3 linked regions of the Cricetulus griseus genome follow. The protein of the gene in region 1 binds, or shares a complex with, the protein of each later gene. Links are inferred from orthologs where the notes say so. Each region holds a gene or a part of one and is shown in the gene's direction. Other genes may lie near its edges.

Evidence for each region. Proteins that work in one complex are often made in the same cells at the same time.
Region 2: Sart1 (region 1) and Usp39 share a complex: the UniProt entries of both Homo sapiens proteins name them as parts of the U4/U6-U5 tri-snRNP complex. The link is inferred for Cricetulus griseus from reciprocal best matches to the Homo sapiens genes SART1 and USP39.
Region 3: Sart1 (region 1) and Ppih share a complex: the UniProt entries of both Homo sapiens proteins name them as parts of the U4/U6-U5 tri-snRNP complex. The link is inferred for Cricetulus griseus from reciprocal best matches to the Homo sapiens genes SART1 and PPIH.

What each region holds. Positions count from the first base shown.
Region 1 is NC_048596.1:53,953,164-53,956,263, forward strand, and holds the end of Sart1 (U4/U6.U5 tri-snRNP-associated protein 1), read left to right. Parts: intron 1-84; coding exon 85-258; intron 259-363; coding exon 364-474; intron 475-696; coding exon 697-784; intron 785-1,247; coding exon 1,248-1,338; intron 1,339-1,452; coding exon 1,453-1,588; intron 1,589-2,119; coding exon 2,120-2,209; intron 2,210-2,311; coding exon 2,312-2,433; intron 2,434-2,521; coding exon 2,522-2,540; 3' UTR 2,541-2,600; downstream 2,601-3,100. UniProt on the Homo sapiens protein: Plays a role in mRNA splicing as a component of the U4/U6-U5 tri-snRNP, one of the building blocks of the spliceosome. May also bind to DNA.
Region 2 is NC_048601.1:64,076,363-64,080,331, reverse strand, and holds the start of Usp39 (U4/U6.U5 tri-snRNP-associated protein 2), read left to right. Parts: upstream 1-1,169; 5' UTR 1,170-1,202; coding exon 1,203-1,467; intron 1,468-3,557; coding exon 3,558-3,627; intron 3,628-3,969.
Region 3 is NC_048595.1:32,848,177-32,852,467, forward strand, and holds the start of Ppih (peptidyl-prolyl cis-trans isomerase H), read left to right. Parts: upstream 1-1,491; 5' UTR 1,492-1,560; coding exon 1,561-1,626; intron 1,627-1,785; coding exon 1,786-1,850; intron 1,851-2,168; coding exon 2,169-2,192; intron 2,193-2,450; coding exon 2,451-2,495; intron 2,496-3,543; coding exon 3,544-3,586; intron 3,587-4,291. UniProt on the Homo sapiens protein: PPIase that catalyzes the cis-trans isomerization of proline imidic peptide bonds in oligopeptides and may therefore assist protein folding. Participates in pre-mRNA splicing.

The sequences.
Region 1 (3,100 bases):
ACCAGGGAAGATCTGTGGGTTCCTGAGTCTCTGTGGTATCACCCCAGAAACTTGGGGTCTGCCCACAGCCATTCCCTCCCCCAGGTGGTAGAGATTGTGAAGAAGCTGGAGTCTCGCCAGCGTGGCTGGGAGGAGGAAGAGGACCCTGAGCGTAAGGGGGCCATTGTGTTCAATGCCACTTCTGAGTTTTGCCGCACGTTGGGGGAGATCCCTACCTATGGATTGGCTGGCAACCGGGAAGAGCAAGAGGAGCTTATGGTGGGTCCCACCGTTCCCCTGGCCTGCTGTCTTTAGGGTGGTGGCTTCTGGTCCAGTGCCCAGAGGGCTGGGGCTGCCCATCCTGACCCTGACTTCTGGTCTTAGGACTTTGAAAGAGATGAAGAGCGCTCGGCCAATGGTGGCTCTGAATCAGATGGGGAAGAGAACATTGGCTGGAGCACCGTCAACCTGGATGAAGAGAAGCAGCAACAGGATGTGAGCACTGACGGGTTGTGGTTGTGGGGACACAGGCTAGTTGTCCAGTGTCCCAGAGCCTCCACCCCATAGAAGGGGCACTAACCCTCCAGGAGCAAGCTGGGGAATCAATTAAAACTGGTCTCATAGCCTGGCACCTGGTAGGGATAGCCATTGGGTAGAAGAGATGGGGTAGCCTGCTCACACTTCCTTCTTCCTCCACCCCACATTTCCCTTCTCTAGTTCTCTGCTTCCTCTACCACCATCCTGGATGAGGAGCCCATCGTGAACAGAGGGCTGGCTGCTGCCCTGCTCCTGTGTCAGAACAAAGGTATGGGCCCAGGTTAGGAGCCTTGGCAGTCTGGGTGCTATAGCAAGGAAGGGCTGGGTGCGTACCTGTGGGTACAGCATGGTGTCCTTGGGTCTGCACTTCTGTCTCTTCCTCTCAGACTCAGCTTTGAGCAGATCTCCAGACCCTGAGCCTCTGATTGCCTTTCTCTGGTCCAGAGTCGTAGCACCTGTTCCTCTTCTGTGCCCTTAAGGCTCTGAGTCCTTCATGAAGAAGTGGCCTAAGTTAAATAAATACCCTGGGCCCCAGATCCCAGCTATCTCCTTGGGGAGGTACCCATCTCATGTCTGTTTCCTTGGTTTGTAAGCCAGACATGGCATGTTTACATACTGAGCAGGGCTCTGAAGGGTCCTTATCACCCATACAAAGCTGGGACCCTAGGCCTACTCTACTCAGTCTGTCTGAGGTGTGGGCCTCATGGGTAGTACAACTTCTCTGTCCTCAGGGCTGCTGGAGACCACAGTGCAAAAGGTGGCCCGGGTGAAGGCTCCCAATAAGTCACTGCCCTCAGCTGTGTACTGCATCGAGGATAAGATGTGAGTGTGGCAATGAGGGCAAGAAGCAGGGGGCAGATGTGAACACACCTGTGCATGAATCTGGGTTGCTGTGAACATGGACAGCTCACATTGAGCCCCTCTGCCTTGGTCTAGGGCCATCGATGATAAGTACAGCCGGCGGGAGGAGTACAGAGGCTTCACCCAGGACTTCAAGGAGAAGGATGGTTACAAGCCCGATGTTAAGATTGAGTATGTGGACGAGACAGGCAGGAAACTGACTCCCAAGGAGGTGAGCAGGGTGCTGTGAAGACAGAGCCAGGTCAAGGGTGACTAGGTCAGGATGCTGCTAAAGATACCCTCAAAGCAGAACAGCACTGCAGGGTCCTGACTGCCCACCAGTTGGGGCCTTGTGAGGTGACAGACCCCTGCTTCTATTGCTGACTAGTGGGCACAGCACAGCAGTTACAACAGGCTATCAGAAAGGCTTGATACCTGGGCTGTCTGCCATACCCAAAGTATCCATCCTTCTCTGACTCCCATCCCTACCATATATGCTGCTCCACATTTGCTGGGTTGAGCCCCAGCTCACGGAGGCAGGGCATACCCTGGGTTCCTAGCACCCAGGTTACATACAACCCATGCATGGTGCCCAGCTCTGGGTCCTTGTCCCATTCTCTTTCTAGCCCTGTGGAGCCTAATCCTGGGTTGGGTGAATCAGTGCTCCTGGTCACTGATACGAAGCTCCCAGTGGATGCTTGTGGCTCTGGTTAGGTCTAGCCTGGCATTTCTGATGCTCCCGACTCATGATCTATATCCTCAGGCCTTCCGGCAGCTGTCCCACCGCTTCCACGGGAAGGGTTCAGGCAAGATGAAGACTGAGCGGCGGATGAAGAAGCTGGATGAGGAGGCGGTGAGTCTGTGGAGGTGGGGGGTAGGATGGGGCTCTGTGTTTTATGCTGTTGTAGGATATACTGGTCCTTCTCATCTGTACTGATTTACTCTGGCCCCACAGCTCCTGAAAAAGATGAGCTCCAGTGATACGCCCCTGGGCACTGTGGCATTGCTCCAGGAGAAGCAGAAGGCCCAGAAGACGCCGTACATTGTGCTCAGCGGCAGCGGCAAGAGCATGAATGCGTGAGTAGGAGGCCTGGCTGTGGCTGGGGAGGGGCACTGCACCTCTCTCTCCAGTCTCACACCCCTCTGTGCTCTCTTCTCCCTGCAGGAACACCATCACCAAATGAAGCCACCTTCCTCCCTGTCCCTCCCAGATATATTAAATAAAGTCCCCTCCTTATTTTTTCCTTCCTGGTCATGCTCAGTCTAAGATCAAACCTAGGAAGCAAGGCAGGCTGGGTCTCATCTCAGTCCATGGTCAGTTCTGCAACCTGACAAGTTACTGAACCTCTTTTAGTTTCAGTATTGCCATTTGAGCTGTCAGAATACCTGTTTCACATGTGAGACTTCAGTGAGTTCATTCATATTCACTGATATATATATATATATATATATATATATATATATATATATATATATATATATATATATATATATATATATATGAGAAAGATGGGGCCAATCCTTGAGCCTGTGTGATTTGATGTCTACTAAGTTGAACAGAGGTGATGAGGGGGAAACAAGCGCATGCCCTCAAAGGACATTCCTCTTTAGTTGCTAACTCAGCTATAACAGAAACCCCTCCACCTAATGGTGTGGTCCCTGTCACATCTTGGCTGAATTGGTTTGCAGAGACTTGGTCACATGGGTGTTCACTACCCTGTAATTTCCCTGGTTGCACAGTTTT
Region 2 (3,969 bases), on another chromosome or scaffold:
TTCAAGTGGACATACTAAGAACACCTGTCTCATATAGGTAATGAGGCAGACAAGTGCTCAGGTAGGTAAGTTTTCTCCACCCATACCCAGCCCCTATTCCAGCCACATTGGGGCTTCACTGTCCCGGCCCAGACCACTTGCTTAACTGTGCCCATGGGAGGAGCCAAGGCTTTTGAGGGTCTAATAATATTGAGCCATCTCTCCTTTCTTTCTTTCCTTCTGCTATGGAGCTCAGGATAGTCTCAGCCTAACTATGTAGCTTAGGCTGGCCTTAAACTTTGGGAATCTTTCTGCCTCAGCCTGAGTCTATATTTTTTTAAGTCCTTGTTTCAAAATGTGGAAATCAGGAACTCATTATTAGAACAGTGACAGACTAGTACTAGTACAACTGTGTGATGGAATATTGCAATGCAATGTAAAGGAATAGATTGTCTGTACGTCAGGTGTAAAAGAGGCCAAGTTAGAAAGTTAACACTGTATAACTCTCGAGTATAAAATTCTAGGAAATGCAGTCACCCAGTGGTTTGGGTGGGAATCCACAGGGGCACAAGGACATTTCTGGAGTGAGACAAGTTTCTTCTCTTGATTATGGCAATGGATTCACAAGTGTTCACACTTCAGAATTTAGCTAATTACACTCGTCAAATATGTGGTACTCTGTATGTCAATTATACCTCAATGGAACTGTTCAAATAGGCAGGGACTAAGGCATGCCTCAGTGGTAAAACTGAATTTGGAGTTTTATTAGCTAAACAGTAAGTGAGCCTTGGCAGAGTATTTGCAATTTTCTAATTTCAGGATCCCTCTAAATATGGTACTAATTGAAGTTCCCAGGTACAAACCTGAATGGAGGAGATAAATTTGGGAATACTGACTCTCTTTTCTGTGTAGGTCATCAGCTCTGGATCAGAGGACTTCTCTGGATTGTCGTTTCGAGACACAAACTGTGTCGAATGCCAGCTTCCTTTCTTCTACAATCACTGTAGCCTGTGAAAGGTTCCTATCTCTTTAATCTGTGAAGAGATGATGGATAAAGAATTGTCTCAACTGGGCAAGTAGTGCCCATTAGGGTCCAGCCGTCTGTATTGTCCCTCTCAGCGACTCGTAGGGAGCTGCGCGTCAGAGGCCAGCTCGGTTCCTGATTGGCCGCGTGCCTCCAGCGTGCGCGGCGCCAGCGCGGAAGCTCCTAGCCGGTGGCGGCGATGTCTAGCCGGTCTAAGCGGCAGTCTCATGGTTCCACCCGCGGGAAGCGCGAGTCCGAGTCGCGGGGTAGCTCGGGTCGCATCAAGAAGGAGCGAGACCGCGAGCGGGAGCCGGAGGCGGCGAGCTCTCGGGGCAGTCCGGTCCGCGTGAAGCGGGAAGCCGAGCCGACTGCGCGAGAGGTCCCGGCGCCTGCGCCCCCGGCCGTGAGGGTGAAGCGGGAGCGCGAGGCCGACGAGGACTCGGAGCCCGAGCGGGAGGTGCGAGGTGCGCGGGGCCGGGCCGGGTGCGCCCTCCACCCTCGCCTGCTTTCTTCTTTTCTCCCTTTTCTTTCTTTTTTTGAGACAGGGTCTCAGGAACTTGCTGTTGTAGCCAGAGATAACCTTCCTCTCGCCTTCACCTCCTGCCAGTTTTCGCCTGCTTTTTACTTTCCCTTGCTTCTTACGCTTCCCTGTCCAAGGTTGAATCCAGACTGGACTGTCTTCAGGTGAAGACAGTTCTAATATTAACCGTTGTCACGATACATCACGGCTCCCCTTTGTCGAATAGCCCACGTGAGTTAGGTGCTCTGCTGATAGCGTTACAGGTATTCCCCTCTACAGTTTTTGCAAAATTCCTAAGATGCAGGGTCCTGTTGTAATATCTGGAATAAGCTCGTTCAGCCGGGATCTCTCTGCACCCGATTAAAGTACTGACTATTAGTTCAGTAGTTTGGAGACAATTCTGCTTCTCCTGGGTTTTGCAGGAGGTTGTTGTAGGGGTTCTGTATTGTTTTGTCAAGGATGTTGATATAGTGACTACCCTTGGGAGACAGATTGTATTATTATTCCATAATAGAGCTAAAGGGACGTAAACTCACAAGCAGATAGGATACCCTTCTTTAAGGGCAGGGTTTTTTAATAAGGCAACCCAGTTTGAGCACTGGCTCTTTCTATTCTCTTGTGTGACTTGAATCCAGGAACTGGTGAAGATGTCATGTCATTGGCTATTGTTATTGCTTTAATAGACTCTTGGTTTTAGTCAGTGATATCACATGCCTTCCATCAGTGATCATGAAGCTGTGGCAAGCTAACAAATCAGCTTGCTAGTAGGATTAACTCTCAGAACCATCACAATTCTTAGACAAATGGTAGATTTAAGATGTTCAACTTATCTTAATACTTGTGATATATTGGGTTATGTTTTGTTTTTGTTTGTTTTGAGACAGGGTTTCTTTGTGTAGCCTTGGCTGTCCTGGAACTAGCTTGTAGACCAGGCTGGCCTCTGGACTCACAGAGATCACCTGCCTTTGCCTCCTGAGTGCTGGCATTAAAGGCATGAGCCACCACTACCCAGCACCTCATTAGATATTTATTTAAAGATTTATTTATTTATTTATTTATCATGTATACAGTACATGCCAGAAGAGGACACCAGATCACATTACAGATGGCTGTGAGCCACCAATGTGGTTGCTGGGAATTGAACTCAGAACCTCTGGAAGAACAGTCAGTGCTCTTAACCCCTGAACCATATCTTCAGCCCCTATTTATTTATTTATTTATTTATTTATTTATTTATAGGGTCTATTTGCTTTGTTTTTCGACAAAGGGTTTCTCTGTGTAGCTTTGGAGCCTGTCCTGCAACTTCTCTGTAGACCATGCTGGCCTGGAACTCACAAAGATCTTGCCTGCCTTTGCCTCCTGAGTGCTGGGATTAAAGACGATAGAAGCTATACCGCCTGGCTATTTACAGGGTTTTAATAAGTAGTGTTGGCTGGCCTGGAACTTTCTCTGTAGATCTTGAACTCACAGATTTCTCCTGTCTTTCCCTCTCAAGGGCTAGGATTAGTAGTGTGTGCACCACCACACATGGTGAAAAAAAAAAGGTGTAGTACATTTATTTATATATACGTGTGCATGTACTATGGTGTACATGTGGAGGTTACAGGGCAATTTGTGGGAGTCAGTTCTTCTCTCTTGCTCCCATGCACTCTAGTAATTAGATTTGGTGGCAAATACCTTTACTAAGCAGTCTTCACTTGCTTAGATTATGTAATATGTGAATTAATCTCTTGTTGGTTATGTGTGTAATAGATCTAATCTCAGTTTGCAGTTTTTTTGGAATGTTGTCACTACAAGAAAATTAAAAGCTCATCTTAATCTTAGTTGATCAGATTTTCCCATTTCCATGGGAAATATCCATGGGAAATAGCAACAAACAAAACAAAATGTACTTGTGATTTGAGTAGTCTGCTGTCCTCCATTTATGATGCTGTGTAAGAGCAAATCCTGCCCTTACTAATTAAGTGCTCTATCACTGAGTTACATCCCAGCACAAGTTTTCCATTTTAAAGTCTGTGATGGATTTCTTCTCAGCAAAGAATGGCCGAGTGGATTCTGAGGACCGGAGGAGTCGTCACTGCCCATACCTGGATACCATTAACAGGTCAGTGATACAGAGAGGATGAGGAAAAGTCTTGGGAACATATCTCAGCAGTGGAGTACTTAGCCTGACATGTCAGAGATCCAAGGTTTAATTCCCATTACCATACAAACAAATCAGTAGATTTGAGATACAGAATATGGTAAAAATGTTGTAGAAAATTCTCCAAACTCAGCAGTGAACAATTCATTCAAACTTTTCTCCTTTTTAGCCTTTCTGTCTTGAAAATGGTGCTTCTTGCCACGTTCTTTCATGTTGTCCCTTTAAAGTGGCCAAGTGAGGGTGTTTGTTTATTGTGTATCTCTGGCTGTCCTAGACCTCAGTTTGTGACCAGGCTGCCCTGGA
Region 3 (4,291 bases), on another chromosome or scaffold:
CCTGTGAGGACTCCATACTGAAAACCTTCCTCAATCTCTGTAGTTTTTAGGATTAATATTTGTGAGGTGTGTGTGTGTGTGTGTGTGTGTGTGTGTGTGTGTGTGTGTGTGCAAGCGCTGATGCCAGAAGAGGACATCAAGTATCTTCCTCTATCATTTACCATCTATTACTTTGAGGCAGAGGCTCTCCCCTGAACCTGGGGGTTCACATTTTCTCAGCTAGCCCGTGAACATCCTGTCTCCACCCTCCTTGAAGCTGAGATTACAGCTTTTTTAATAATAAGTAGAGGTGGGAATGAAAGGGTCAGGCATTATGCTGGCCTGCCCATTACCTGGTGGAATCCACTCAGGCAATACCCTGGTCAGCCCAAGGTTCCATGGGAAAGAAGTCTGCACGCAGGTGCAGAGGACCCCTTTAAAAGATAGGCCCCTGCACCTTTACGCTCTGTCTGTCTCTCTCTCCCCGTTTCTCTGTTTCCCCGCTCTCTCTCTCTATGGCGACCGGCCATGGCGGTCAGCCATTACCCTGTTCCTCTTCTTAGTCTCCCCATTCTACCGGGCCTTATAATAAACTTATAGTCAATATGTCTGTCTCAATATTTCTCTTTTCTTCTTTTTAAACAAAAGAATAACATGCAGGATACCCAGTTTGTCGCATGGGTGCTGGGATGCCCTGATCCTCCTGAACCATCTGTTCAACGCCAGTTCCAAAAGGATATGGCAAACCATGTAGGTAATCCCAGCATTTGGGACGCTGAGGTAGGAATATCGTTGAGCTCAAAGCCAGCCCTTGATAAGCAGCAAGACTGTCTCAAAAACATTTAAGGTGAAAAAAAAATATTTTAGAAGAGACAAAACTCGAATCAAGGCCTTAAAGGACGTAGCAATCTAACGTCTCCACAACCGAGCCAGAAAGGGTAAAGAGTGGTAGGCAGGAGATGAGGCTAGGTAGTGTGAGGTCTCTACTTTCAGGTCTTCGCTACCAGCGGTGGCAAATAAATGGCATTCGGGCCTTCGTATACACAGCTGGATTTACGTTAAATATGCAAATCCCCCACACACGATTTACAAGCACAAAGGTTGTTTCTTAAACTGCAACTCTGTGGGAAATGAGTTGGAAGCTTGCGACAGAAATGAAATCACATTTCCAGGATCCCGAATGAGCCAGCCTACGTAACATTTTACAACACGGAGGGTGATTCTGAGGGTTCTCCCCTCGTGGGTGCCGCCTCGGGGGCAGGGGACACCCAGTGTGACGGCTCAGCAAATGCTGTCTGCCGGTCACTCATTTGTACTGCACTAGTACAGTCACGCGAGTAGGGAGCCCGCCGCCTTCGGCGAAGATGCCTGCACTCCCTCGCTTCTGCGCCTTCTCCCCTCATCCCCGCCTTCCCTCAGAACCGACCCGCTCTACAACACCAGTGTCCGCCTTCCCGGCGGTCCGCGCCGCGCTTCCGGGGGCGGGGCCCAACCCCGGTCGGTTTCCACGGCCCCTGTGCTTTGGCTGAATTCAGCAAGGCCGGTCCCCGGAAACTGGACTTCTACTTCCGGGTCAGAGCCATGGCGGTGGCAAATTCAAGTCCAGTCAATCCGGTGGTCTTCTTTGATGTCAGCATCGGCGGCCAGGTGAGGTGCGGGAGGCCCGGCGGACCTGCGCGGCTGGGCAGGACACGGGTGAGGGAGGCAGCCGAGACTGGCTGGGCCAGGGCGGCCGAGGTGGGCGCTTCCGAGCTGCGTGGGCTGCGGTCGTGGACTGAGCCTTCTTGCGTCTCCCGTCACTTGCAGGAGGTTGGTCGCATGAAGATCGAGCTGTTTGCAGACGTGGTGCCTAAGACGGCAGAGAACTTCAGGTGAGGAGATGCTCCACTGAATCAGCGTGGCTGAGCCCGAAGCCGGCCTCGGGGCGCTCTTTGCAATGTCTGCCTCTGTCCATCCGTCCACTGCCTTGTGCTCTGTGCTCTGTGTATTATTGCACTGGCCGAATAGCTACCGGGTTTGACCGTTCCTGTGTCAATTTGTGATATTAGTTTACATGGCTGCATGCCCTGACATCCGGCCGACCAGTTAGTGGACTTGCTGGCCCCACTGTTTGTACCCTCATCTCCCGATATTAGAGATGCTCCGGGCAGCGATGGCATGGTAACTGTTCATTGTTTCTTTCCTTTTAGGCAATTCTGCACTGGAGAGTTCAGGTCAGTCTCAGATGTGTTTGACCTCTATTCCTCCTACTCCTGAAGGGTGTCCTGGAGGTTTGGTGAGGGTATTGGGGAACCATGGGCAAGTCTTGAGTGGTGGAAGATGATATTCAGAGGGTGTCTTCTTTATCGATGCGTTCTTTAGCTTGCTTCTATCCAAATCTTTCTGAGAGTCCTTTTAGCCTCCAGTGTGTCCCAAACGGAAAGGACCCATGGTTATTTGTCATCACTCCAAGTCTTTCTTTTTGGTTACAGAAAAGATGGTGTTCCAATAGGATACAAAGGAAGCACCTTCCATAGGTAAGGCTTTTGGCAAACTGTTAATGCAGTCATCACTTGGTATCTGTGCAGGCAATCCTGAACACCTGAGTACACCTATGGTAGATTAGGTTTGTTGTTTAAAGTGTCATGTCCAGGGCTGAGGATGTAGCTTGGTGGTAGAGAATTTTCCCAGCATACCTGAGACCCTGGGTTCAATACTCAGCACCACAGGCACCGTAAGTCATCCTAGATGTAGAAATGATGGCAAGGAAAACACTATCAGTTGGGTGCAGGTGCAGTTCCATAGGCTTCTATACCCAGCTTTTATGTGGGTTCTAGGGATCTGAACTCAGGTCCTCATGCCTCATTAACAAGGACTTTACCCACTGAACCATCCCCCTGGTTCCAGGTAGAGGCTTTGGTAATAATTACTATTATCAGGCAGTCATCTGCAGGAACCTGACCTTCTTGAATGCCTTGCTTTCTGTGTTTACCAATTTTTGTTAGGGTTTGACAGAAGTTGTTCCACTTTAATCCTGAAATTTTTGTGTCATCCATATCAGGGGCTTTAGAATTATGGTCTTTAATCCTTCCCAGCATCCTTGTGAGGTAGTATGTGTAATCTGCCTTCTTTAAGGAAGGAAACTGGGGCTAAGAAAGGACTATGCCTGGGTATATAACAGCTTACATTACCCTGTGTGTGTGTGGCAGTCCATTTCACATATATTTGCTGTTGTTCTTTCTTTCCCCCCAGATTTTCATTAAGCCCTTGACTTTTTTTTTTTTTTTTTTTTTTTTTTTTTTTTGTAAATATGTTATTTCTTCCTGACAGGTTTCAGCCCTTTTCTGTTGTTCAGGTGCTCACTCATATACCTTAGATCAACACAAAGATGCCCCTGGAGCTTAAAACAAGTTATGGTTCGTAATCCCTCATCTTGCTCAACTCCAGGGGTGAAGACTCAGTCTCTAAGCCACGGTGATAAACATTGTACTTCAGAAAAAATTACTAAGCTGCTATGTTGGTGACCAAACCACTGAATCCTTCCCTCGGGAATTTTTTGTTTGTTTTGTTTTTACTCTGTTTCAGGGTCATAAAGGATTTCATGATTCAGGGTGGAGATTTTGTTAATGTAAGTACTGCTGTTTTTTCTTTGCTATTCTTCCTATAGGGCTCCAGTCTTGAGATTTAAGAATAATAGCTAAGTTAAATGGAGAGAGCATGGACTAGGGGATGCACTGTAGAATTGCTGGTACTGCTGACTGTGCCCTTAGAACATATACCAATACTAAACTTGAATCATTAACTCCCATTGTCCAAACCTGAGCTTTTTTGTTACCAAAAATTGGACTTTGCTAGTCTACCTATAGACAGATGATCTAAGACCACATTCTTTGACCACAGAAAACTTTGAAATTAGCTGCAGCCCCCCTCCCCCACAGGAAGTGAGCCAACTGCTTGTATGCCCTATTTTTCCTTCCACTTCTGGTGTCCCTCTCTAAAATTGTAGTTTTTTGTTTGTTTTTGTGGTCTGTCTTTTTTCCTTTTGAAAGCTGAGGGGTTTTTTTGTTTTATTTTGGTTTTTGTTTTGTTTTGTTTTTTGTTTCTCAAGACAAGGTTTTTCTGTGGTTTTGGAGGCTTGCCTGGAACTAACTCTCATAAGACTAGGTTGGTCTCGAACTCAAAAAGATCCGCCTGCCTCTGCTTCCCGAGTGCTGTGATTAAAGGCGTGCGCCACCACCACCTGGCTGATAACCACAAGCCAGTTAGTGGCAAGGGGTCAGGAGAGGCAGGCAATTCAAAGGGTGTTTGCTCTGCTTGCTGAGGTAGCCCAAGG